Linked DNA regions of Arabidopsis thaliana. The protein of the gene in region 1 interacts with the protein of each later gene in a pairwise test. Each region holds a gene or a part of one and is shown in the gene's direction. Other genes may lie near its edges. The genes, in order: AT1G36060, AT4G31420, AT2G34140 and TRY.

What was found.
Region 2: the proteins of AT1G36060 (region 1) and AT4G31420 interact in a two-hybrid assay, tested with the Arabidopsis thaliana proteins (one large-scale study listed by BioGRID).
Region 3: the proteins of AT1G36060 (region 1) and AT2G34140 interact in a two-hybrid assay, tested with the Arabidopsis thaliana proteins (one large-scale study listed by BioGRID).
Region 4: the proteins of AT1G36060 (region 1) and TRY interact in a two-hybrid assay, tested with the Arabidopsis thaliana proteins (one large-scale study listed by BioGRID).

Annotation. Positions count from the first base shown.
Region 1 is NC_003070.9:13,453,228-13,459,374, reverse strand, and holds AT1G36060 (Integrase-type DNA-binding superfamily protein), read left to right. Parts: upstream 1-3,038; 5' UTR 3,039-3,712; coding exon 3,713-4,657; 3' UTR 4,658-4,879; downstream 4,880-6,147. Other genes in the region: AT1G36050 (Endoplasmic reticulum vesicle transporter protein), read right to left, coding at 5,692-6,014.
Region 2 is NC_003075.7:15,244,434-15,251,332, reverse strand, and holds AT4G31420 (Zinc finger protein 622), read left to right. Parts: upstream 1-3,274; 5' UTR 3,275-3,569; coding exon 3,570-3,674; intron 3,675-3,944; coding exon 3,945-4,511; intron 4,512-4,602; coding exon 4,603-4,772; intron 4,773-4,874; coding exon 4,875-5,093; intron 5,094-5,189; coding exon 5,190-5,346; 3' UTR 5,347-5,517; downstream 5,518-6,899. Other genes in the region: AT4G31430 (flocculation protein), read right to left, coding at 1-27, 118-172, 276-340, 435-624, 882-1,052, 1,487-1,578, 1,658-1,764, 1,928-2,016 and 2 more; AT4G31410 (E3 ubiquitin-protein ligase, putative (DUF1644)), read right to left, coding at 5,859-5,895, 6,185-6,899. UniProt on the Arabidopsis thaliana protein: Pre-60S-associated factor involved in the cytoplasmic maturation of the 60S subunit. Involved in the dissociation and recycling of other late pre-60S factors before newly synthesized large ribosomal subunits enter translation.
Region 3 is NC_003071.7:14,412,032-14,417,815, reverse strand, and holds AT2G34140 (Dof-type zinc finger DNA-binding family protein), read left to right. Parts: upstream 1-3,027; 5' UTR 3,028-3,115; coding exon 3,116-3,628; 3' UTR 3,629-4,122; downstream 4,123-5,784. UniProt on the Arabidopsis thaliana protein: Transcription factor that binds specifically to a 5'-AA[AG]G-3' consensus core sequence. Transcriptional repressor of 'CONSTANS' expression. Regulates a photoperiodic flowering response.
Region 4 is NC_003076.8:21,579,892-21,586,106, forward strand, and holds TRY (Homeodomain-like superfamily protein), read left to right. Parts: upstream 1-2,722; 5' UTR 2,723-3,021; coding exon 3,022-3,085; intron 3,086-3,378; coding exon 3,379-3,466; intron 3,467-3,900; coding exon 3,901-4,069; 3' UTR 4,070-4,352; downstream 4,353-6,215. UniProt on the Arabidopsis thaliana protein: Transcription factor. Involved in epidermal cell fate specification. Negative regulator of trichome development, including endoreplication, by lateral inhibition involving intercellular interactions.

The DNA of each region.
Region 1 (6,147 bases):
AAAATTATGACTAGTTAACTACCGGATACAATAACTATTAAATCAAAAATGATTAATAAATATAATATTTATGCATTTAACAGTTGTACATCCGTTGTTATACTTGATAATAAAAACTTATATTATGATGATAAAATATAATTAATAATAAAATTATATATATATCATAATTAGAGTCGTGTCAAGCTTCTTTGAAAATGTGAGCCCGTACCTAATTTTTAAAAAAATTATTTAGAAACATTTTTACATTGGAAAAAAATATAAATAGAAAAATATGAAAATCTATTATAGTGTTCTAAAGAATTAGAGATTTACAATTTTAGTTTGTTTAGTAAAAGAAAACTAATGGTTTACTGGATCATAAATAAAATACAGAATTGTTTATTTAAATACAAATAGTCTAATTTTCAAAATTTGATAAAGAATACAGAAATATAAATAATATACATTATATAAATGATATAAAAAATAATAATATAGAAAAAACTGAACATTTATAAAAGAAACGATGTTATTTCTTAAACGTAAGGAAAAAACATATTATGACCAAATATTGGGAATTAATCATTATGAACTCAAACTTAAAACGAGACACTCAAATATACAAAGTTTTGACCAATTGAACTACCTATATATCTGAAATTGGAGCCTTAATATTCAATAGAAAATTTGGGGTTTGAGGCATCCGCCTCTTTTTTATAAGCACAGCTCTATTTGTAAATTTCATAGAAATATGACAAACTAATTCATAAATCTTCCAAATTGACAATATTATTACAATACTACTTTTATTTATTATCTTTCTTCAGTTGGGATTGATACACTGATATTAGTAGGAAAAAGTATTTAAAATTTTGAGAATGAACATTAATATATATATGATTTGATAATATTTATTTATTTGTTGTTTAAATGACTTTTTTTTGTTCTTTTTCTTTTTTGCTAACTGTCTATAATCGCAAATGTTTACAAAAAAGAACTTTTAAAATTCATCGATTTGAATGGTTTAGAATGGTCCGAAACTTTTGAAATGTCTATTATTGATTTTAAAAGTTAGCACCGCAACCGTCCGTAAATATAAGATTTGTGAATTGTACTATTATTGATGTTTTAGGTTAAAAATGGTGTGTAAGCAAAAGAAAAGAGAGATTAATTGGGACAAAAAATCACACGCGTGAGTCTTAATTTCGAGGCGACGCCAACGTAAAGTCCAATTTCCCACTTGCAGCAAATTGCGCCTGAGATCACGTGATGCTTTCGTTCTCACGTGGCTCTTCTATCTTGCAACTTAATTATCACTTAAATCACTTATTGAAGAAGGTATTATTTCATCATTAAATTAAATTATCACTTAATTATATCACTGTTATTGTTCCAACGGTATTTGTTGACGGTTGGAGGTTTCGAGCATTATTAAGATGCTAAAATTGTCAAATTTAGTTTCAACAAAATTACTGAATTGAAAAGAGAAAACACTATTTTAGAAAACGTTTTTTTGTTAATGAAGTGTGTTAGTGGTAATTTTATGAAGCCACTCTTTCATTTTACTCATAACATCATCCATTTAAGTTCGGAGAAAATTCAAATGCAAAACATTTAGAAGTATATATTTCAAACATTTTTATTATAACAATAATTTTTCTTAACATTTCAAATATATTTATATTTTTGCGTAGAAATTTGAAAATATCACTTAATAAAACAAAATAATTTCTCTAAAACATCTTAAAGTGAAACGGAAGGAGTATAATAAAAATTGAATATACTTGCATAACAATTGGTCTTAAATGTTTTTCGATAAATCTATTTGTATAAGCATAGTAACTTAATGGTATAGTAGAAGTACTAATCGATCTCAGAAGGATGTTAACACTTTTTTTCTCAACTAATTTTCAACGACTGTTGCAAAAAGAAGGAAAAAACGTAAACACCGCAAAAATGGCAAAAAATGCGAATTGTGGCACTAAGGACATGTGACCTGGTTTCTTTGGCTAAGAACAAATGCACCTTTAACTTCTGCTCTGCATGGAATCTTCAGTCTCCACGTACGAGTCCAAGTGTCGTGCGAATGTTAATATTCAAACTCTACAATAATTATCATCAAACAATATAACCAATTCAAGTATTGATTTGTTTCCAAAATAACCGTTGTACTTATGCTTACGCAAGTCCGCAAGTTCATATTTGATATGCTTCTGTCTAGAACAGCTCTGCCCACAGTACTCCGTAGTTCGTCCGTACTCGCTACCAAGAAGAACAAATTCAACCGTATAAATGTTTATGTGGGTTTTGACCCAAAACACTTTGTCATAATCCTTGCTCAAAAAATCGTTAGGCGCTAGTCGAACGATGAGGATAGGTCTATCACCTAACAAAAAAATCAGAGATTATACGAAAATTAATCGGAAATTAAGTTTAGGGTTATTTAATATTTTTAAAACATATTCCTCCATTACAATTAAGAGAATTATATAACATTGTTTTTAGAATTGTATTAAACACATGAAAACAAGATTTTAAGTTCAAATTTATGATTTTTTCATACAAATTAGAACATAAGTTTGATGTTTTAAATTTGGATATTTAAAAAGTTGGATATTTTTAAATGTTTATCTTAAAAAATAAAAAAAAATGAAAAAAAAGTTTTGGACTAGGCATCCTCTAGACAGGTTTAAGCGGATCTATGATGAATAAATCAGATCAACGATTAATCTTTTCGATTTGGACAAAATTGCGGTAGACTCTATCCGATCAGCCGACTTTTTGAACAAGGGATTCATAACTATTCTTCGAAACATTTCACTAGTTACAACATTTATATTCAGTTTTTATTCAATTATTTTTTATACTTCTTTTTTTATATATATTTGGATCAAATATGTATCTTATATAGTGGGAGTCAAATACATTTTTTTAAAGTCAAATACGTTTTTTTAAAAGTCAAGTACATTATTTTAGGATTATTGATGTACAAACAATATTTTAATCTATCTTCATTGAACAAGCCCTCTATATAAACGGTGAGAGTTGGGTGGGTATTACCAAGGTGAGGTTGAGAGCATCTTCCAAAAGAGAGAGTGTTTGTGTGTGTGAGAGAGAGTGAGTGTGAGTGAGAGAAGAAAAAAAAAATTGAGAGATTAAAATTTGAGTGAAATTAGGGTTTATTCTCTTCTTGCTTTCTTTGCTTCGTTTCATCTTCAAACCAAAAGAAAAAAACTCTTCCATGTCCTGTCTATTCATCAGTCGTCTTTCTTGAGAAAACACAAATCACGATTTTCTTATGAAGTGTTGCTTTATGAGTTTATATTTTGCCAAAACTCATCTAAAACGACAAACTTTTGTTTAAAATTGTATTTGAAAAGTGTTTTCAAGAAAACGATATCCATCAAAAATATTATGATTTTTTCTGTCAATTAATATTCTTTCATTCTTTTATAGAGTTGATCAACTTCATGGGCATTTTTTAGTTCCCTCAAGTTTTGATCCTCTTATTTTATTTCTTTTTTTGTTGATAAATTTATTTTAGTTTTGATCTATGGAGGTTGCTTATTTCAAACCTCGTTGATCACTTTTATTTCTGTATAAACCAAAAAACCAGTCTTTGAATTTTTTCTAAAAAGACAGGTTTTATTTCTTCAACCATTTTTTAATTATAATTTTATATAATCTTGTTTTTTGTAGTACATTTTTTTTTGTATTTCAGGAAACTCCGATGGCGGATCTCTTCGGTGGTGGCCACGGCGGCGAGCTTATGGAAGCACTTCAACCTTTTTACAAAAGTGCTTCCACGTCTGCTTCAAATCCTGCGTTTGCGTCCTCAAACGATGCGTTTGCGTCTGCCCCAAACGACCTATTTTCTTCTTCTTCTTACTATAATCCTCATGCATCTTTATTCCCTTCACATTCCACAACCTCTTACCCGGATATTTATTCTGGATCCATGACCTATCCATCTTCATTCGGGTCGGATCTTCAACAACCCGAAAACTACCAATCTCAGTTCCATTACCAAAACACTATCACTTACACTCACCAAGACAACAACACTTGCATGCTTAACTTCATTGAGCCGAGCCAACCGGGTTTTATGACCCAACCGGGTCCGAGTTCGGGTTCGGTTTCAAAACCGGCTAAGCTCTATAGAGGAGTGAGGCAAAGACATTGGGGAAAATGGGTCGCGGAGATCCGTTTACCCAGGAACCGAACCCGACTTTGGCTCGGAACATTCGACACGGCTGAAGAAGCCGCGTTGGCTTATGATCGCGCCGCGTTTAAGCTTCGTGGTGACTCGGCTCGGCTTAACTTCCCAGCTCTCCGATACCAAACCGGCTCGTCTCCGTCTGATACCGGCGAATATGGTCCTATTCAAGCTGCCGTAGACGCTAAACTAGAAGCCATATTAGCTGAGCCGAAGAATCAGCCGGGCAAAACGGAGAGGACGTCGAGGAAACGAGCTAAAGCCGCGGCTTCTTCAGCTGAGCAGCCGTCAGCGCCACAACAACATTCCGGGTCGGGTGAAAGTGATGGGTCGGGTTCACCGACTTCGGATGTTATGGTGCAGGAGATGTGCCAAGAGCCAGAGATGCCATGGAATGAAAATTTCATGCTCGGCAAGTGTCCTTCTTATGAGATAGATTGGGCTTCAATTTTATCGTGAAAAATTAGGATTCAATTCATTTTTATTCATTTTAACTTGTTTGTATTTTCTTTTAAACTTTAGGGTTATTAGCTGTGCGTAAAATTTGTAATTTAGCATTTTGTATGAATGTAATGCAAGTGTGTAAATTATGGACAGCTCAAGCTTTTTTGTTCATGCCGTACCATGTAGACCCTTCTTCTTTTCTCTTAATTGAAATGAATATGGTTAGTATTACTACTATGAATATATTGTAACACATTAGAATCGTGAAGTTCCATTCTGCGACAGGACCATTGTGCTTAGCTTAGAAATGATTAAAAAGTAAATTAGTCTAAAAGGGAACAATATAGTGAAAACTTAAAATTTAAATTGCTAAATTTCTAGCTTAATATTATAAATTTTGGTCCTATTTTGAAGAAGTCAAAAGAGAAACACAAGAGTGGAAGAAAAGGATCCTTGATTGAACTTTACGTGGTATAAAGATAACCTCATACAAAGTGCCTACGTTGACGACATTCTCATGCTTTCTCTTTAGAATAGACCGAGTGATAGATAATAAGTAAAAAAAAAAGTAAAACAATTATCAAGTCTTTAAGTTAACACAAAAGATTAGATTTCTTTTTTTGTGTTTAACAATGGTAACCAAAGTGAGTTTTTTTTACGAGCAAACGTTGTCAAATGAGAAAGGAAGACTTGGATGATAAAAGTGTCCATGCAAATATAGAAACCAATTGCCAAGCCAAAGGAATGAGAGAATGCACATATATTAGGCTTGCACATTCGGGTACCGGTTTGGGTTCGACTCGAGTATTTGGATTTTGGTTTCGTACTAGGAATCGAGGTACTATTTGGGTATTTTAAAATTTTGTTCGGGATTGGTTTGGTAACCTTCGGGTTCATATCAGTTCGGATAGTTGATATGGGTGAATTGAAAATTATCGGATACAGTTCAAGTTGGTTACTTTATACTCAAATTTATCCAAACTACTCGAAAAGAAAAACCCGATGTTCCCAATCAAACCAGGCAATATAGGTTAAAGGAGATCATGAGTTTAGTTAGGCTTCAAATATATTCGAGTTCCCGTTAATTTATCAGGTATTATCCTTTTTGAACCAATACCGAAAATATATGAAGACAAGACCCAATCAAATGTTCTAGAGGATCCAAAACAGACCCAAACCGATATTTCGGATAGGTTCTGGTTCAGTTCTTCGAATCCGAGTATTAACCGAGACCTAACATATATTGCAATCGGAATTAATATATTCACTAATAACAACTTTCTCGTCAATACTAATAATGATTCTCTGTACTCTAAGCGTTTATTATGGAGACTGTTTTGCTTCTTTTTCTTCCATTCATTGAATCCATACACTACAATCAAAGATAGACTCAAGACTTAACTTCAGATTCAAAACCCATAATATCTTCAAAAGACAAAAAGTCAAAAGACGATAATTGTAACGCACGCATGAGGCTGTCAACAGCTGGATTGACACAACCCAAG
Region 2 (6,899 bases), on another chromosome or scaffold:
TAAATGTCTCCTCCAAACCAACTCCACCTAATCAGAACACATTAAATCCATGAGACAGAGTATAAAAAGCGAAGATGAGAGAGTGTATACAAATTAAGGATTAAGGGAGAAACTAACGAGATCTAGTGTGTAAAACTCCTGTTTCTTTGACGGCTTGATTAGCTTCCGTAGTCTTCACTCAAGTAAAACACACAAGGACACCAAAACAAGAAAGATTGGAACTGCAAGTTTTTTCTTGGTAATGAGAGACACATAGTGTAAAGAGTGCTTGATACCTGATTGTGCTCAGAGGTAGGTATGGCTGAATTTGGTAGAGCTCTGCTTTGTTCATTCCGTACAGCTGAAAGAACAGAAAAGAAGAGTTAATTTCAGTTTCAACTCATGTCTTACTGAAAAACTTCTTCCACGTGTGAATAAAGAAAGAAAAAAAACACCTCCATCAGCATTCAAAGACGAAGCATTTCCTTTGAGCATATCAGTCGCTAAAACATAGGGGCTGTATTTAGGTTCCAAAGAGGCTACACTACTGGGACTTTTAAGCATTTCCTCGGTTGCTTTAGCTCTGACTTTGCGAATTTCATCTTGAATATTCCATGACTGATTAGAACCGGACTTCCTTTTCAGCTGCATTTGGTAACCAATGTCAGAATGAATAAGGGTAAATTTGAGAGAGCCATTGAAAATACATATAACGGTATGCAACTTTTCTTTAGGAATAGCTGGAAATAGTGTCCCACAAATTCCTCGTGGTTATCTAACATAAACAATAGAAGTTAAGCAGAGAATTTTATCTCATAAACCAAGATGAAACGACTTCAGACTTTCAAACAACATTTGACCAAAAGAAAAGTATGCACTGCTGGAGAACTTAAAATTCTAACCTTGGATGAGGAAAAGTTTCCAGCGCTATAAGGAAGGGGTGTCCCTTGCACTCTTGCTGATGATGGTGATCGAAAATCTAAATTATTCGCAGCTGGAGATCCCCATGGCAGACGAGCTCGCATATAAGACTTGGCCACGTCCACAGGCGATCCAGCACCATCTTCAGTTGCCTGGAGATTTAAACTAATGGCTGAGATGGTGATCATCATTTAAAGTACAATGGAAAAAGAATACTGTGAAGCGAAGCTATCAGAAGTTGACCAAAATCATGTAAGTAAATGGTCTTCATAGTCAAAAGAAGAGCAACAATATGGATCTTTTGCATTTTAAGCGGACAAAAAGGTATTTCCCAATCAGGACATTTCAGAATTAACGTCACCAGATGGCCACACGCAGAATTCTGAACAACCTACTTTTGCAAGAGAGCTTTAAGTTGCTGATCACATGGATTGGCATATAACAATCAAATCATTTTACCCAAACAGAAGATGTCTCCTTCTATAATAATAATGGCTTAGAGCACGGAGACAAGATATCACAAAAAAGTTGATACCTGCAGGCTGCAGCAATTAGAACAGTTAAGAAGCAAGTTTCCAGAACTTACTTTATACTTTGAACTTGATCCTGATTTCTTCTCCTCCAACCATTTTCTTGCTTCCATGACAGCTGTATTGGACATTTCACCCACATTCACGTCTAGAAATAAAATAGAAAAGAAGACGTTATCACATAGACTAATCCGGTCTACTTGCACAGTCTACCATCAGTAACATACCGCTTGTCAATCCATAGTCATCATGACTCGTCTCAATAGCAGAGGGGACGCTGGGATGATCTACAACCCTAGCCTTGATGATATCTATTAACCTATCACCCTCTTCCCTGAAACAACATACACATGAATGAATAAGCAGGATACAAGATCAGCTTAGATTTGGTAACTACACACGTCTCAGAAAGATTCTTTAAGCTATGAGGTGTAAATAATAAGAATAGTCGAGGAGGCTGCTACTTATGATGTCCAAAAAGCCAGGCAGAGAAATACCTTGCAAATGTTTCTTGCAAGAGAAGCTGCTCAATTACACGCTTAGAACTGAGTCGTTGAATGCTTGGTTGCTGGGCACTCAGAAGGTCCTATTCACACAAGCACAAAAACTGAAATTATGCTTTTATAAAAAAAACTCTCAGTTGAAAACGTGTTAGCTTCACGAACTTTACTTCAAACAATTATCATAGGACTACAGTGGCATAGCAATCACCAAAACGAACAAGGTGGTTAGTACCTCTTCAGTAAAATCGGGATTGTTCTTCTCAACATCCTCATCACCATCAATATCTGCAAACAAAGAAGAAAACATATAAAAATCCATACATTAAAAGAATAAGACACAACAAAGCTGGTTGGTATTCTCAATCCCAGAACTACATTATATGAATAAAAATTAGAGCTTTAGAATTAGTATGAAGTTTATAGCTTAGAAGTAACCTAACTAAATAGAGTACAACAATGCTTAACTGCTCTTAAGTCCCACATATTAAAGGAAAGAGAAAATGGGAAAGCTTTAAGTCAAACTTCACATTTCAAACGAAACGGTAGCTTTCAGATTCGACCAGACAATAAACCAAAAATTCAAATTAATCCTATCTAAACTGAAATAAATGGTACAAACCTGAAGATGAATCCTCGTCCTCCTCCGAAGATGAGGAAGAGTCGGAGAAGACGACGGAAGAAATGAATTTTCCGGCGCCGGAAGCAATTACGCTGGCGGGTTTGTAAACGAGCCTGGAGATCCAACTAGGGTTTTGCTGAGGAGGATCTCGGGATCTCTGAACGGGGCGCTCACACGGCGTCCTGACAACAGCGGTGCGTCGTGGTCGAACAATTTTCCCACCGACTCGAGGCTGACCTGCTCCGGCGGCGTAACCGGAGACGGAATCCATGGTGAAAGTGAGAGGAGGAGGGAGAAGTTCGTTGTAGGAAATAATGAAAGTGTTGAGGAAAAATTGGTAATTTCTCGTTATTTGTCGTCTTCTTGTTTTTTTTTTTAATTGGGGGTGAATAGTTAGTTTCCTAAATTACAGGCCTGCGGTTAAAATTTCTTCCACTAATAAAATTAGGCAAAAACAAAACATTGCGATTAAAAAAAATTAATCGTAGTAAAATCATGTATTATATTCTTCTCTTTTCATATTTTGAACATATCACATGATGTTTAGATCTTATAAATGCAGTAATTTAATAGAGAGATTAGAATTTGGAAGAAAAAAAAGTTACATGATTAAACGAAGTAATTAATCAAGTTGTAAGTAGTTATTTTAAAAACAATATTAGAAAAATGTTTTTTGGTTACTCATACAGTAATACTTAATTCGTCAACTGTGTCAGTGTTACAAAAAGGCTAAAAGAATGGGCCAAATGGGCTACTCTTGTATCGGGTCAGGAACGGGTCAGTTCCAACCCGATCGGATCTAAAATGGGCGGGGCGCCTTCCTTTTCATTTTGATGGCAATCAATCATCATCAATCGACGCTTTTTTAGAGACAAACACGATCGCCGATCCATTTACGAGCCGTCGTTGCTCTACACATATCAACAACAAATCTTATCCTCCCAACTATCTTTTCTCTGATTTTCTTTTCTTCTCCAGTTTCCATTTCTAGAATCGATCGATATTGAAGGAGAGAAGATGCCTGGTTTAACATGTAACGCGTGTAACATGGAGTTCAAGGACGAAGAAGAACGTAACCTTCATTACAAATCCGATTGGCACCGCTACAATCTCAAGCGCAAGGTTTCATTTCTTCTGCTTTCTCTATCGAATTTGAACTCAAGCCTATCTGTTTCTCGGGAAAATCTTGCGTCGGTGATGAGATGAAAGTTTCTGAGAAACAGCTTTTCCATTTTGCTATCGAAATTGTTTAGTTAAGGTTATGGAATCGTAGAGTTTATATGAAAATTTGTTTTGAAGCTTATTCTACTAAGGAACAAGGATTTCAATAATCATAGATTTGGTTACTTCTAGGCATTTGAATCTTTGTATTTCTGTAATTTTTTATGTTAGGTGGCTGGAGTTCCTGGAGTTACAGAAGCCTTGTTTGAGGCTAGACAATCTGCTCTTGCTCAGGAGAAGAATAAATCAAATGAAGCACCTATGCTTTATACTTGTGCAATCTGTGCTAAAGGTTACAGGAGTTCCAAGGCTCATGAGCAGCATCTTCAGTCGCGTAGCCATGTTTTGCGGGTTTCACAAGGGACATCAATCAACGGAGAGGAGGATATAGCGATTATCAGGCAACTTCCTCGCCGTGTTCAACACAGGGGTTCCATTGATGATGATAGTGAAGATGAATGGGTGGAGGTTGATTCTGACGAGGAATTGGCTGCTGAAGAAGCCTCTGATTCTTTGTCTAAGTTGAATGTGAATGAGTCTGGATCTGCTGAAGATATGGATGATGATGGTGATGCAGATAAGTATGAGCTGGATCCAACCTGCTGTTTGATGTGTGACAAAAAACATAAGACCTTAGAGAGCTGTATGCTTCACATGCATAAGCATCATGGTTTCTTTATTCCCGATATTGAGTATCTCAAGGATCCTGAAGGGCTTCTCACTTACCTTGGTCTTAAGGTTTGGACTCATCAATTTACCATTCAGTGTTCGTTGTTGTCAAGCTTTGAAATTCTTACTCCTGTTTACTTATACATTGCTCATCATTTAGGTCAAGAGAGACTTCATGTGTCTGTACTGCAATGAGCTGTGCCGTCCATTCAGCAGCTTAGAAGCTGTAAGAAAACATATGGAAGCAAAGAGTCATTGCAAACTGCATTATGGTGATGGTGATGATGAAGAAGATGCTGAGCTAGAAGAGTTTTATGACTACAGCAGCAGGTTTCAACTCTCTTCTATCTCTGATTATTCTTGTTCTCGCCTGTATTCCTCGTTCTATGCCAAATCTTAATCCGCACCTTTCTTTGGAATATATGAATTGAGCAGCTATGTTGATGAAGCTGGAAAGCAAATTGTTGTATCTGGTGAAACAGACAATACTGTAGAACTCGTTGGTGGTTCTGAGCTCTTGATCACGGAGAAGTCCGAGAACACAACAACGTCTAAAACTCTCGGGTCCCGTGAATTCATGCGTTACTACAGACAGAAGCCACGCCCAACTTCTCAAGACAGCAACCAGATAATTGCCTCTTTATCTTCAAGGTTTGTTTTCTCCAAACCCGTTAATCATCCGAGTCTATCCAATCAGATAATCGGCAAGGTAAACTAAGGTTATTCCAACAAATGGTAAATTCTCAGGTACAAGAGCCTGGGTCTGAAGACAGTACCGTCGAAAGAGGAGACTTTGAGGATGAAAGTGCGCAAGGAGATGAGCAAGAGAGGCGAGACAATGCGTACCAAGATCGGAGTGAAGAGTAATGTCATAAGAAACTTGCCCAATAACGTCCCATATTAGTTTCTGTGTATGTGCCACTTGTTCTCAAGTGTTGGATTGTATGATGATTTCATGTACTTTTGAGTCTTTGACCAAGTTGTGTTGCTACTTGGTAATAAGAGTAAGCTTTAAAAAGAGTATGTTCACTGAAATAGAAATGTTAAAAATTAATACACGAACGTTGACTTCTGATTTACTCTCAATATCTACATTGTCCAGAGATGCATGTAAAACAAAGAAGAGACAACGACAAAAGGGTACTACAATATCCCAAAAAGGCTTTTTGTTTAGTTTTTGTACAAAGGCTGCGACTGCTGCGAGTAATGTCACAAGACAAACCTAAAATAAAATTTATGTGTAGAAACAAAAAGAAAAAGAAGAAAGAGGTCCAAAACCAAGAACACTGGCTACAAATAGGCTGGTCTGCATCATTTGCTTCGCTTCATTTTCCAGCTGACTGAGAAAGAACGAAAAGGAACATTACAGATTCACAAGAAGACAGTACCAAAAGCATAGAAACAGAAGGTTAATACCTAATTTTCATAGAAGCGGGTTCGACGCCTTCTTGAACTGTAAATCAGAGAAAACAAGGCATCAAGCAATGTCTCTTAAGTAACCATCATATATAGCACAAGAAAGCTACTAAACCAGGTCAACACCCCAAGCTATTATGCCAGAAATATCACACAATGGGGCCTGATTAGCTAATTTGTCATTCAAGAGGTGCCTAAAAACCAGGCTCACTGGTAAGCCTTTAATATCAATGCAGAATAATTATAAACTATGAAAGTAAGAATGTATATCTCTGCAGACAGCAACAATACAAAATTAGTGGTGTAAAGCTATAGATTATTCTGACCTTTGGTGCATAGAGCTACTTCTGTTAGCTCCACTTGTGCTGATGAACTCGTCATCGATCTCATCTACTCTATACTCCGGAAACTCTATGGATGCTACTGAGCTGTCATCAGAGTTGGAATTCTCATAGCTAGAGCGGCGACTCCCTCTCCTACTCTCACTCATTCTTGATCTTCTTCGATTCCTGGCATTCCTTATATTGTCAAACATTTGATAGAGAATACAAGATGTCCACCAGTTTCCTTCATTGTTGGGAACATCCTCAAATTCATCTCCTGTGTCATCATCTCCATATTCGATCACATAGTCCCCTAAAACCACTCCTCTTGGAACTTCTGAGTGAATTGTGCTCAACACGTCGATTATTTCAGACGACTGCTGGAAATTCTCCCAGTCAAGCTTCCGTGCTGGATCAATTTCTGAAGGACGAGAATCCGGATGCTCTGACTGAGCATGTTTGCGAAGCTCCAAGTAAGTACCCATAAACCTGCATCGTTCTTCCTCACAGCAACGTTTTTTCTCATCAAGACGAAGACGAGCTTCTTCTACAACAAGCCAGCCAGTAACTTCTCCTCTACACAGTGGACACACAGGTTTGCAACTCTCTTCTAAAACCTTAGAGCGAGGCTCATCAGGAGCAGGAGGTGATTCAGTACCACAGGCGCTAATGAAACGATCCAAACAGTTAGAGTGAAGGTGATCAGTATTGCAGACAA
Region 3 (5,784 bases), on another chromosome or scaffold:
TGATATACGAGATTTGTGACAGAATGATGTACACAATTTTAAATGATAACGTGTGAAATTGGTAGACATAACGTACAATATTTGGGGTATACTAATAGGGAATGTATAAACCATTATTTCAATTTACTGGTGTACATCATTTTGTACACTGGATTTGTACACTATCTCAAAAACTTTCATATACACCAAATTATTCACGATTTTATAGATTTAGTGTACAATATTTTTGAATATATATAACCTATTATTTCAATTTACTGGTGTACATCATTTTGTATACTGATGTTTGTACACTATCTCATAGACTTTCAAGTACACCAAATAGTTCTCTAGATTCGGTGTACAATACGATAGACGATTTAAAGAGTTGTATATGGTGTCATCTACTATTTTATTATTTTATTATTTTATGTACACCGTGAATATCATGTACACTATCGTTGTTTTATTTTTAAATATTATTGTCGTATACTATTATTTTATATTATTTTTGTACATTATCAAATTCAGATAAAACATGAGTGTGTTTGGTTTCAATGACTTAAGAAAATATGAGTTTTAATTAATGTCAAGCCCATGAACAATTCCAAAATTGGAGATGATATTGGGTTGCTTTTAATCAGGCCATTTTATTTCATCAAAACAACAGAAGGGTAAAATTGTACTTTACTAAAAGCTGTATTAGAAGGAGAGTTCTATTAGAGAGGAGAGATAAAACTACCTATTCCTCCTATTTCTAAAAAAAGTGTCTACTTCTCAAATTATTTTTGCAAATTACTCTCCAACTTATCTCTTTCAATAATCGTGAAATCTTCATTAAGTGTAAAAGTGATACATGATTAAGCTTAAATACAAGTAAACTAAACCAAAACTACTAACCAAACTTAACCACAACTAAACCAAGTATATACACTCTAATAGAATGTGTACGTTCGTTAAAGAACGGTCATGGCATATTTGTATTGGATGTTACTTAAATTTGGTAAATTTGAAAAGAAAAGCATTATCGGTAAAGCTGAAATCACTAAGATTTTTCTTTTTATTAATTTACAATAGACTATCCTTTTTCCATACCATGTAAAAGTGGTTCCTTTATGACTAGAAAGATACCAATGAAAATTCATACTACAATTTAAAGGGGAGATGAACATGAAATTAAACTCAAAGAAAGAAAAAGAGAGATGAACATCGATCAATGCTCTCTTTTTTACTTTCTTTCCTTTTTGTTAAAAACAATGTTCTCTTTTTTTTCTTTTACTTTTCTTCCTTCTTTTCTCCTTTCATTTCTAACACTTTCCTTAGTTTTACTTTTATATTTTATATACGTCAACCAAATATGGGATTAGGTTAATTGAAAGTGGCATATTTTCAGAAAAGTACTTTGCTTTGCTTTATCTTTCCTCAATGTTCCATTCAAAAGACTCCGTCTTTCAATCGAATATCAACGCATGAGAAAATTATGATCCATTTTGAACTTCACTGACGAGCCGGATCATACTAGGACTGGACTTATGGTCGTTGATACTTGAGTGAGATTATAGCTGAGATGGTCAATCCATCGACACTAGATTGGATCATTAATTGATCAGACTTAGCTCATTCGTCCGACCCACTTTACCATTTATATATAGTTTCAATCTGGCCACTTTGCGACAAGACATGGTGTATAAGATATTAGTAATTAAATTTAAAACAATTCGAATACTTATGAGAAGGCTACCGTGAAGAGGACCCACAAGAAGTCTTTAGAGCTGACAAAAGGAAGAAATATGAAATATGAGTAACGATGTCTCTGTCTCAAAAGCTCATACTCCTTTCTCTTTTCCTCTTTTTAACACTGACTTATTACCAAACATTTCTTTTTTTGACGGCTATGTCTTAAAAGTTAGATCACATCTAAAATATATATATACAGTATATAGTTCATCCATTCTAAATTCTAAAGATAAATATTTCAATCTTGATTTCCAAAAAAAAACGATGAGGTCAATCCTAAAGATCAGTATTAATTGGGGGTTTAAACACATACACACGCACAAATCCATCCAAATGTTCTTTGAAAAGAAAATATGTATGGGCCGGGGCAAGACTCCTAGGTATCTAGAGAGTTGCATTTCAAACCTAATGATAATAGATTATTTAAAGTTTTAGAAAAATGGAACTCGTGACTCGTGCACTGAGAAATCATTATCAAATTCGTAAAATATTAGAGAGCAAAAAGTCTGAACAAGACATTTTCCTTTTCATGAGTTACTGCCTTGTTCGTTTTGGATATTTCCTCCGTTTTATAATATAAGTTGTTATAGACCAAATTTTTTGTTTCACACTATAAATTGTTTTCAAGTTTTTATGCAAGTTATATATTACTTTAATACTTTATGATTATTTATATTTTACAGTCTCTTTTATGATTGGCTGAACTTTTTAAAAGTTAATATGCTTAATATGTGTGTTTTTAGCTAAAACAACTTATATTGTGAAACGGAGAGAATATTATTTTTTAGTATCTGTTTCATATTTTTATATCTAGATACTAGTTAATCAAAAAAAAGATCTATAATTTCGACAACCCTGAAATTCTAATTCGTTAATAATCCATGAACATAGACTCAAATTCGGATGTGAATAGATGGATCATGTTTATAGAATCTCTTTCAAGTAAATTTAATCTTATTTTAGTTGGATCACGTTCAAGCATCCACTAGCTTGTCTAAAATTGTTACGAAATAATTAATGTGTATTCATTTATTCTATAGAGTAAGTGGACGAAAAAAAGGGAAAACGTGTATGGTTTTACAGTAACTACTTACGAATTGCACTTTTCAAATAATTAGCTTTTTAAAGAAAGCTTTGTAGCTTGATCCGCATTGGCATTCGTGTTTTACGTGTAGATGTGAATTCAAGACCCAAAAGTAAAGCGATGAATGCGCCTATTACTACATGCTTTAAAAAGTTTTTAACAAATAAATATTTTAATCTCCACTAATTCAGTCACTTTTCTTCTCCAATTCCTGCTAAAAAGTTATACTATCATCTTTCTATAAAAAGACGTCTTCTCTATTTCTTACCCCCAACAAACTTTGGATAAGCTATTTTCCATTCTCTGCACGTTTTCATGGCGACTCAAGATTCTCAAGGGATTAAACTCTTTGGCAAAACTATTGCATTTAACACTCGAACAATAAAAAATGAAGAAGAGACACACCCGCCGGAGCAAGAAGCCACAATAGCCGTTAGATCATCATCATCATCGGATCTGACGGCCGAGAAGCGTCCGGATAAGATCATAGCATGTCCAAGATGCAAGAGCATGGAGACAAAGTTCTGTTACTTCAACAACTACAACGTTAATCAGCCTCGACACTTTTGTAAAGGCTGCCACCGTTACTGGACCGCCGGTGGTGCACTCCGGAACGTTCCCGTCGGCGCCGGTCGTCGGAAGTCCAAACCACCTGGTCGTGTCGTGGTTGGTATGCTTGGAGATGGAAATGGTGTTCGCCAAGTCGAGCTTATAAATGGCTTGCTCGTTGAGGAGTGGCAGCATGCCGCAGCCGCAGCTCACGGTAGTTTCCGGCATGATTTTCCCATGAAGCGGCTCCGGTGTTACTCCGACGGTCAATCGTGCTGATTATAATTATTTACTCTCTTTTTTAAAAAATAATTTGTTTTGGTTTTGGGGTTGAGTGGTTTTCCTCTAAACCCGTTGAAGAACGTGGTGAATTTGGTTGCTATTGGGTACATACAGGCTGGCAAAGTAGTTAATTTGTCATTTGTCAATCAATCGAATCCAATTACTACTTTAATTTACTACTCTCTATACAAGAGGATTCTTTTTAAACAATTTAATTAATATTATCGACCTAGGATTCGTATGCATTAGTATAGTGGCGTGTGTAATAAATTTTGATAGATTTGTCATTTGTGTTTAGAATTCCATATGGTTAACAAGATTTCTCCAATTACTTGTTGGAATACCTTATATAAGTCGGTTGTTGTGTTATTCCATATTTGTAATAGTCTTTTTTTAGATTGTGGATTAATGTTTTGGCATTCATGTGAAAGAGACTTGTTGTTATTTGCCATTTTCATTAATGTTTTAAGCATAAAAATGGTTAATAGATCAAACCTATATATATATATATATAAGATGAAACCTAATTACTTATTTCTTATATTTAAATACACTAAATCAATAGTCACTTTTCAATAACTGCAACTTATTACTTCCTACAAAAAGCCTCCACCTCTCGCTTCCTTTCTTCTCTGATTCAGTTTTCCTGCAACTTTTATGGACTATTTATTTTTTGAAGTTTCTGTATAGATTCACTGACATGGGCCAAAGGCAAAGGTAAATTACTGGTTGCATTTATATATGTTCATTGATTCTAAGTGCCGATGTATCCGGTTAGATTTTGATTATGTTTTGGGTGATTCTGTTTTTTTTTCTCTTAAGTTAATTCTGTTGATTTTATGTTTCCTTTCTTGATAGATCTATTGATGGGAGACTACGATTTCTCTTTTACAGTGCCCTCGGTGTGGTACGTATCATTTCGATAAAATCTTTTTCCTATTATCATTTTTATTTGATCTAAATGGAGTATCAACGAGTATTATTTTGAGATTCTATCAATCATTGTATTTTGTAATATTATTCTTTGTCGTCGTTTGCAATTAGTAGCTAATATTTACCACAAAAAGTTATGCAACAATGCATATGTTTAGGTTATTTCTTTACCTTTTTATTTTTTACAGGAATTCCTTACTTTCAAAAGAACTAACAATAAATCCAAATATTCAGATTGTAGAATTTCACAAGAAAAACTAGATTGAAGGAACAATTTAGATTATATAATGTGACTGGACTTGGCAATGGAACAAATAAAATGTTTGAATTCATTTTATTCAGTAAATATAAGAACCAACAATACAAAAGTCAATAAAATACATAATTCATCTGGTGCAACAACATCTTCCCGTTTTAGGCCCTGGAACACAGTTTCCATCATCATACCCTTTCGTTATACAGTCATGGAAGCATTCAAAACGTTCGTAATACCCTGGACTACATCGAGCAAAGCAGTCTCGCCCTACACATATATATCAAACAAAAAATCTTATAAAAACATGTAATACACTACTACTTTTTTTTCACTAGAAATAAATATTTCACTAAAATTCACTAAAGGATTACAACGGTGGATTACATATGTCGGGAAAGGAAATAACCCTTCCAAAAACTAAGCCGGCGAGTGAATAAAATTTTTGGAGACAAAGACGGAGAAACAAAGAGAAAAACACCAAGAACAAAGTTTGATCCAAAACTTTCCCACAGCCTCAAAAATAAAAATTACACAGTCGAGTATTCTCTAATACACATACATATATTTTGGGAAAACATATTCTCTCACTACAAGAAAACAGTCGTTTTGTGAGGGAAGAATTACTCGTTAATCCCTCGCAAACAGCTACACGCAACAGATTTGCGAGGAAAACGAGTTCCTTGCAAATCGCTTCTCGCAAATGGTTATATGTCGCAATTCCCTCGCAATTGTTGCGAGGAACTGTTTTCCTCGCAAATCACACGCAATTGTTGCCTAATACTTCCCTTGCAATAACTGCGACGGATTTGCGATTCTTTTTTACTGCCTAGCAAATCTCTAGCAGAATTTGCGATGGATTTGCAAGCGTTCTGCAACGTTTTTTCTGATATATTAAGACTTCATTAGTGTCTGATTAGTCTCTAATTACCTAGTTAATTAGTTGTTAATTATAGATGATTTTGTA
Region 4 (6,215 bases), on another chromosome or scaffold:
TATGTCAAACTATGACAAATTATCAATATAAGAACAAAAACTCAATATATCAAATTCAAACATTCATACAAAAACAACAAAAAAAATTACCCTGGATGAAAACGTATCGATCCAAAAAACCAGAACAACTCACAAATACGATAGAACAAAATAGAAGAAGAAGGAATTTCACACCTCATTCGATTCGAGTCTAAAAGAAATAAACTACATCGTCTCCTCATTTCTCATAACTCTATGACCTATTAAATGTTAGTCAAATATAAATTTACTTCATATGTTGTTTGTGGATGGGGCTACTCACTCATATATAGTCATGTAGTGAAGAAACCTTATCATCTTCTAAAATATCACGTTTTCCATCTTGTTAAAAACCGCAAATACTCATATGTTGCATAAGAGTGTAAGCGGTTAAGTGAATATACTCAATTCGTATATAACGCTTTTCCAACTGAAAGCAGCAGAAACATTCATTGGACCACCTTAAATGTTGTCAACAATGTTGTTAACCAATCAAAACATCTACAGTTCAACAAGTTTTATTATTTGATTCGAGCTTTTACTTTGTGGGGTTTAAATTAATATTTTAATGACCCAGGTTTAATAAAATATAAAATACTCCTATATACATGCATGTATGGGGGCACTCGTATAATATGTGTAATCATTCGATACGTTACAAATAAATATATGTTTATTTAGGCCTAAGAATGTTAGTTGAATTGATCTACCAACAGCTGCAACCATGTTTCAAATCGGTTCAATATTTCTTTTCTTTCTCTTATAACTTTCTTATTAACTACAAAAATATTCCTTAATAGCAGTTCTTTTACGAGTAATCTATCTTCTTTTCTTGTGTAATATCAAATTTATTGTTCAACCAAAAAGAATAATTTGTACAAGAGTTTTAATTTTAATTAAAGTGGAAAGAGAAATGGATAGTGATTGCTATTATGAAAAATCTTTCTAGGAGGCAACATGTCACATCTTTGTTGTTGTTGATATAATCAAATAATAGAAAAGGTAATCACATCTTTGTCCTTTTGTACCAGAATTTTAGACATTAGTTTAGCTATGCAAACCAATTTCGTTCTTTTAGCTCCAAACTAAAGACACATTTTCATTGATGCATTCTTCGATATCGAATTGATTTGTTTATCAAAAGTTTATGAAAATCATTTATATTGCTATATTGTATTTAAGCTTCGAGTAAAGAGATATTTTACCAACTAGGCTTCCTATTAAAAAAATTCCAAATCTATCACATAATACACAGTTTCTATGCAATGAGGATGATGCGATATACATCACATGACTCGCCTCACACGATGTCTTTCGCCGTAGACTACAGATTTCTTCCGTTTAATCTTTTATCCAATTATGAATTATCTGGTAGGGTACTTTATATTTTGAAAATCTCTTTCGTGAGAATATGATAGTAATTGTATACTTTCTTACAAAATTTATTGAGAAGCGTACTTTATATATGATGTTTCTCACTCGAATTAAATACGTTAGTTTAATGGGTCGATTCAGATTTATAATAGATTTAAATATTTCGAAGAAAACGCAAATCAGGGATTTTGGTTGTATCATGTGTGAGAGATTGAATTTCTCCAGAAGCACTCATTAAATCGCGTGTGTAAGGAGTTGCCATACAGCGTCGTATGTAATGTCTTAGTCACTGTTCTAGAATTAAAACATATGTCAAATGTAGAATTAAAAAACAGGGGTTAAAATGTTAAATTATTCGGAGAAGTGGAATTATTATATTAAAAACATTGTGTGATTTTGGGATAAAATCTGAATCATGTTTTTTATTGTGCCAAAAAATTTCTGTTTCAACCTCTTCGTGGAGATGAAAGAAAAGTCAATCGGGAATGAGACTTCTTGTATAACGAATGAAAATATGAACATGTTGATTAATGAATTAATTAACATACGTACTATATTAAGTGGGAATATTAGGTATAGGCCTTCGATTTTCCGTTTTGTTTGGTTTTTTCGATTTTAATAATATTTCTCTAAATTAAAATAAATTTTAGTTTGGTTTATTTAAAATATTAATAAAATAATATAAATAACTATCTAATTAATATATTAAAAAGTATTTTCTATATATATTGATATAAATATTATTCCCATGTTTTATATTGGGTGACGTTATCTTTTAAGTAAAGTTGTAAGATATCTAACTTATTCCTACATTATAATAACTATCAAAATAAAATAACTAATTGTAGTGACAATGATGACTATCAAAATATGTATGTGTTTTGGCTCAAACATAGCGTTTAATAACAAACACAATGGACAATTTTAATAAATTTGATCGATTAGATTTTGTTTCATTTTCATGCACTAGATTAAGGTTCGAATTAGATTCATTTTAGTGTATATAGTGAAACTAATTTGTTACTATATGGAAAAAAAAATAAGTTTATTTTTGGTTCAAGAATTTTTATTCGGTACGGTTTGGTGTGTATGTCCAACCCTGAAAAAAAAACTTGAAAAACTAATAACCTAATAACAACTAATTTTCTTAGAAATACAAATTGGACTTGAATACAAAAATGGAAAGAACAACAACAAATCAATAACTAAAACATCGTTGAACTTGCATCTGCCAAATAAAAATCAATAAATCCCATTATTCTAAAAAGATAGTAGGTTTAGAAAAATTGAATAAATGGAAAAAAAAAATTGTTAGGATCTACGAATGAGAACAAAGTTAGCCTTCAAAATACTTACAAATCCCAATAAAAGACTTCATCTCCATGTGTATTTGAGTGTCAACGACAAGTCTACACAAAGGGTAAGAGGTCAACAAGACCACACAACACTTCTTACTATTAGTTTTGCAAAGGCCGTTCGTTGGACATTTCCTTCTCTCTCCTCCCCTCTTCTTCTTCTTGTTCGCTCTATAAACTCTCATCTCTCACGTCTTTTTTTCCTTACATTCTCCAAACTCAAAATTTCATCACATTAATTTCTCTCTATTTTTCTTTTCTTACTTCAATAGTAATGGATAACACTGACCGTCGTCGCCGTCGTAAGCAACACAAAATCGCCCTCCATGACTCTGAAGGTACCTCTCTATTCTCTATATATTTTCTATTTCCTAAATCCAATTTTATTAAACATCTTGAAAATAAATTTAGTTCCTAGCTAGGATCATATTCTCTTTGTATATATTCGTTAAAACGAGGGATACGTTTAATTACTTCTAAATTAGTTACACCTCGTGCTGACTAAAAGACTTATCAAGATTAGTTTCTAGTTTTAACAAAAATTAATATCTTTTTAAAAAGTTTATATTTGTCTTTTTTTGTTAGTTTAATATTGTTTTGAGTTTAATTGGTTTAATATTGTTATTTGCAGAAGTGAGCAGTATCGAATGGGAGTTTATCAACATGACTGAACAAGAAGAAGATCTCATCTTTCGAATGTACAGACTTGTCGGTGATAGGTAACAATTTCTTCTTCTTCTACTTTTTCTAAGATTATCCCAGCATAAAATAAATTTTATATTTTAGACATGTCTAGCTAAAACAATTTAATATGCAGGTATATACAATTTTACATACGTTAATTTAAGCATATGTACTTTATAACATATGTACAGTGTACCATGTTGTAGGGGAAGCACATGGTGTCCACTAATTTTCTAAAAAAAGACATTTAATTAAAGCTATCACGTTCATTAAATTATATATGTACACACATATATATAGAGATAAAAATAAGAACCTAATTTACTATTCTTATCAGTACGTACTCATGTATATAAATGCTTGGCTGGCTCAAAAATGGAAATTTTTGAACTGACAAATTATATTTTATTATGAAAATATAAATGCTAATGCTTGGGATAAAAATGTTTTTTTTTTTCTTTTGAATTAGGTGGGATTTGATAGCAGGAAGAGTTCCTGGAAGACAACCAGAGGAGATAGAGAGATATTGGATAATGAGAAACAGTGAAGGCTTTGCTGATAAACGACGCCAGCTTCACTCATCTTCCCACAAACATACCAAGCCTCACCGTCCTCGCTTTTCTATCTATCCTTCCTAGTGTTTTTGTTTTTAAGCCAACGAAAAAAGAAAATAAAAAAATTATAATAGATGTATAGTAGTGGTTCTTGTTAGTTTGAAGAATTCATCATCTATTGTTTTCTTTTTGTTGTTATTTCATTTATAATTTTTATAGTATAGGTTTCATTTGGTAATCAACTTTAATCCATGCGGTTAGGTTTTTTTATTTTCTCGTCTACGACTTTTATATCCACAACTAGATTTTAATCCGCGGTATATCGCGGTATAATTTACTTTTTAAAGTTAATATATATTAAAACTTGCAAATTTTATTTTTATAAAATATTTTTATTTTACAGTTTATAATTGTTATTAAGTAACGCTATACAACGAATCCATGAGACAATTGTTAAAAAACTGAAGTTTTAACCCTTACTAAAACAGCATATTAATAATATTTTAAAAATTTATAAATATTGATTCAAATACATCCACCATATAACTCAATTCCAAAATAAAATCTGTTCTGTAATTTCTTTACCCATCCCGTGATTTATTTTTAAAGTAGTAATTTTAAAAATTTGAGAATTATTTATTACATATAAAAGTTTTACAAATTGTATCATTCTCTAATACATTTATATTTTATAGTTTAATTTTATATATAGTAACATTTTATATTTTATATTCTCTAATATATTTTATATTCTCTAATACATCAGTAATTAGAAAGTAAAAAAAATTGTGTATTAGATTTAGTCCTTTGAAAGAACTTATCAAGAGGAAACTGATCATTTGTGCAAAAATGGTTGGGTAATATTTTAACTAATGACAATAATTTTAAATAGTAAAAAAAAAAAAAGAAATACTCCATTAGTTATAGTTGACTAGTATATTTTGAAGAAACTACTTAAAAAAATTATTACAGAATTAATGACATAATGTATCTATACTTTAAAAAAAATGTAACTAAAATAAAAACCCCGATCCAATTCTAACCAAAAGTTATGAACACTTATTTTCACAATCACTTAAATATTAGGTGTTACATGCTTGCACTAGCTATATATATGTAGGACTATGAAGTATGAAGTATGAACTTAATTTTTCTATAAACGTTTTAAGAAATAAAGAATCTATATATAGTATTGCCTTTCATACAAAAAATTATCAGTTTGAAAACTTTCTACCAACACGATAAAAAGTACTATATGAGATCATCCTAAACGTCTATTTAAAAAACGTGATTCTCATTGGTAAACGACTAATGAACGGACGGTTTGCGTCTAAAACTAACTTTTCATGGACAGGATTTAACGGATAGAATTTTCCATTATATGATTTTCATGATTACGAACCAAACGATTCAATTCTTCAGCTATATGTCGTTTCACATAAACTCACAAATCACAATCTTAGTTAAAGCTTTTAGGCCCAATAGTGTCCCAATTATTTTAGCCCATTATTTAACAAGGTACGACAGATTATCAACGTCACTCGACCAATACAAGTAAAGGTAAAACTATGGGCCGATAAAAAATGCCCAATTTCAGTTTTTACAGCCCAGTTGTAAGTTCACCAGTAGTGGATACACTGCGTTAGGACTATCCATTTCAGAGAATGTATTGATAATTCGGATATCTACAAAGTGACGGAAAAAAAAAAAAAATCGGATATCTACAAACTACAATTTGAATAGCTAGGGATATTCACCACCATCAGTTTTGGGGTTTGGTTGATCTCTAAACCAGCCACACGAAGTTTCACAGTCAAAAGTTTTAAACCCAACAATATGTTGATGTTGAACATGGATGATTCGATGTTGCATCTAAATGTTGAGATTGGATGCAACATCTACAAAAAAATATGAGCATGGCTATAATTTTATTATAAGCTTAGTTTGTGTAAAATCCGAATTTATTGTGGTTTAAGTTGCATATTCCAAATTAGTTTGTGCACAGACTTGCCTTGCATAGTTGCATAACAACAATTAAACATTTTCTCACATCCCAAACATGATGTAAAATATGATTCTACTGATAAAATGTGAAACGAGACATTTAAATTAGTTCTTACACAAATATATATATATATACAATATAAATGTGTATATATTTACATAATTCTTTTTTTGAGACAAAATAATCCATACTTTCACCCAAAAAGAACATCTTTTAAGAGTTTAT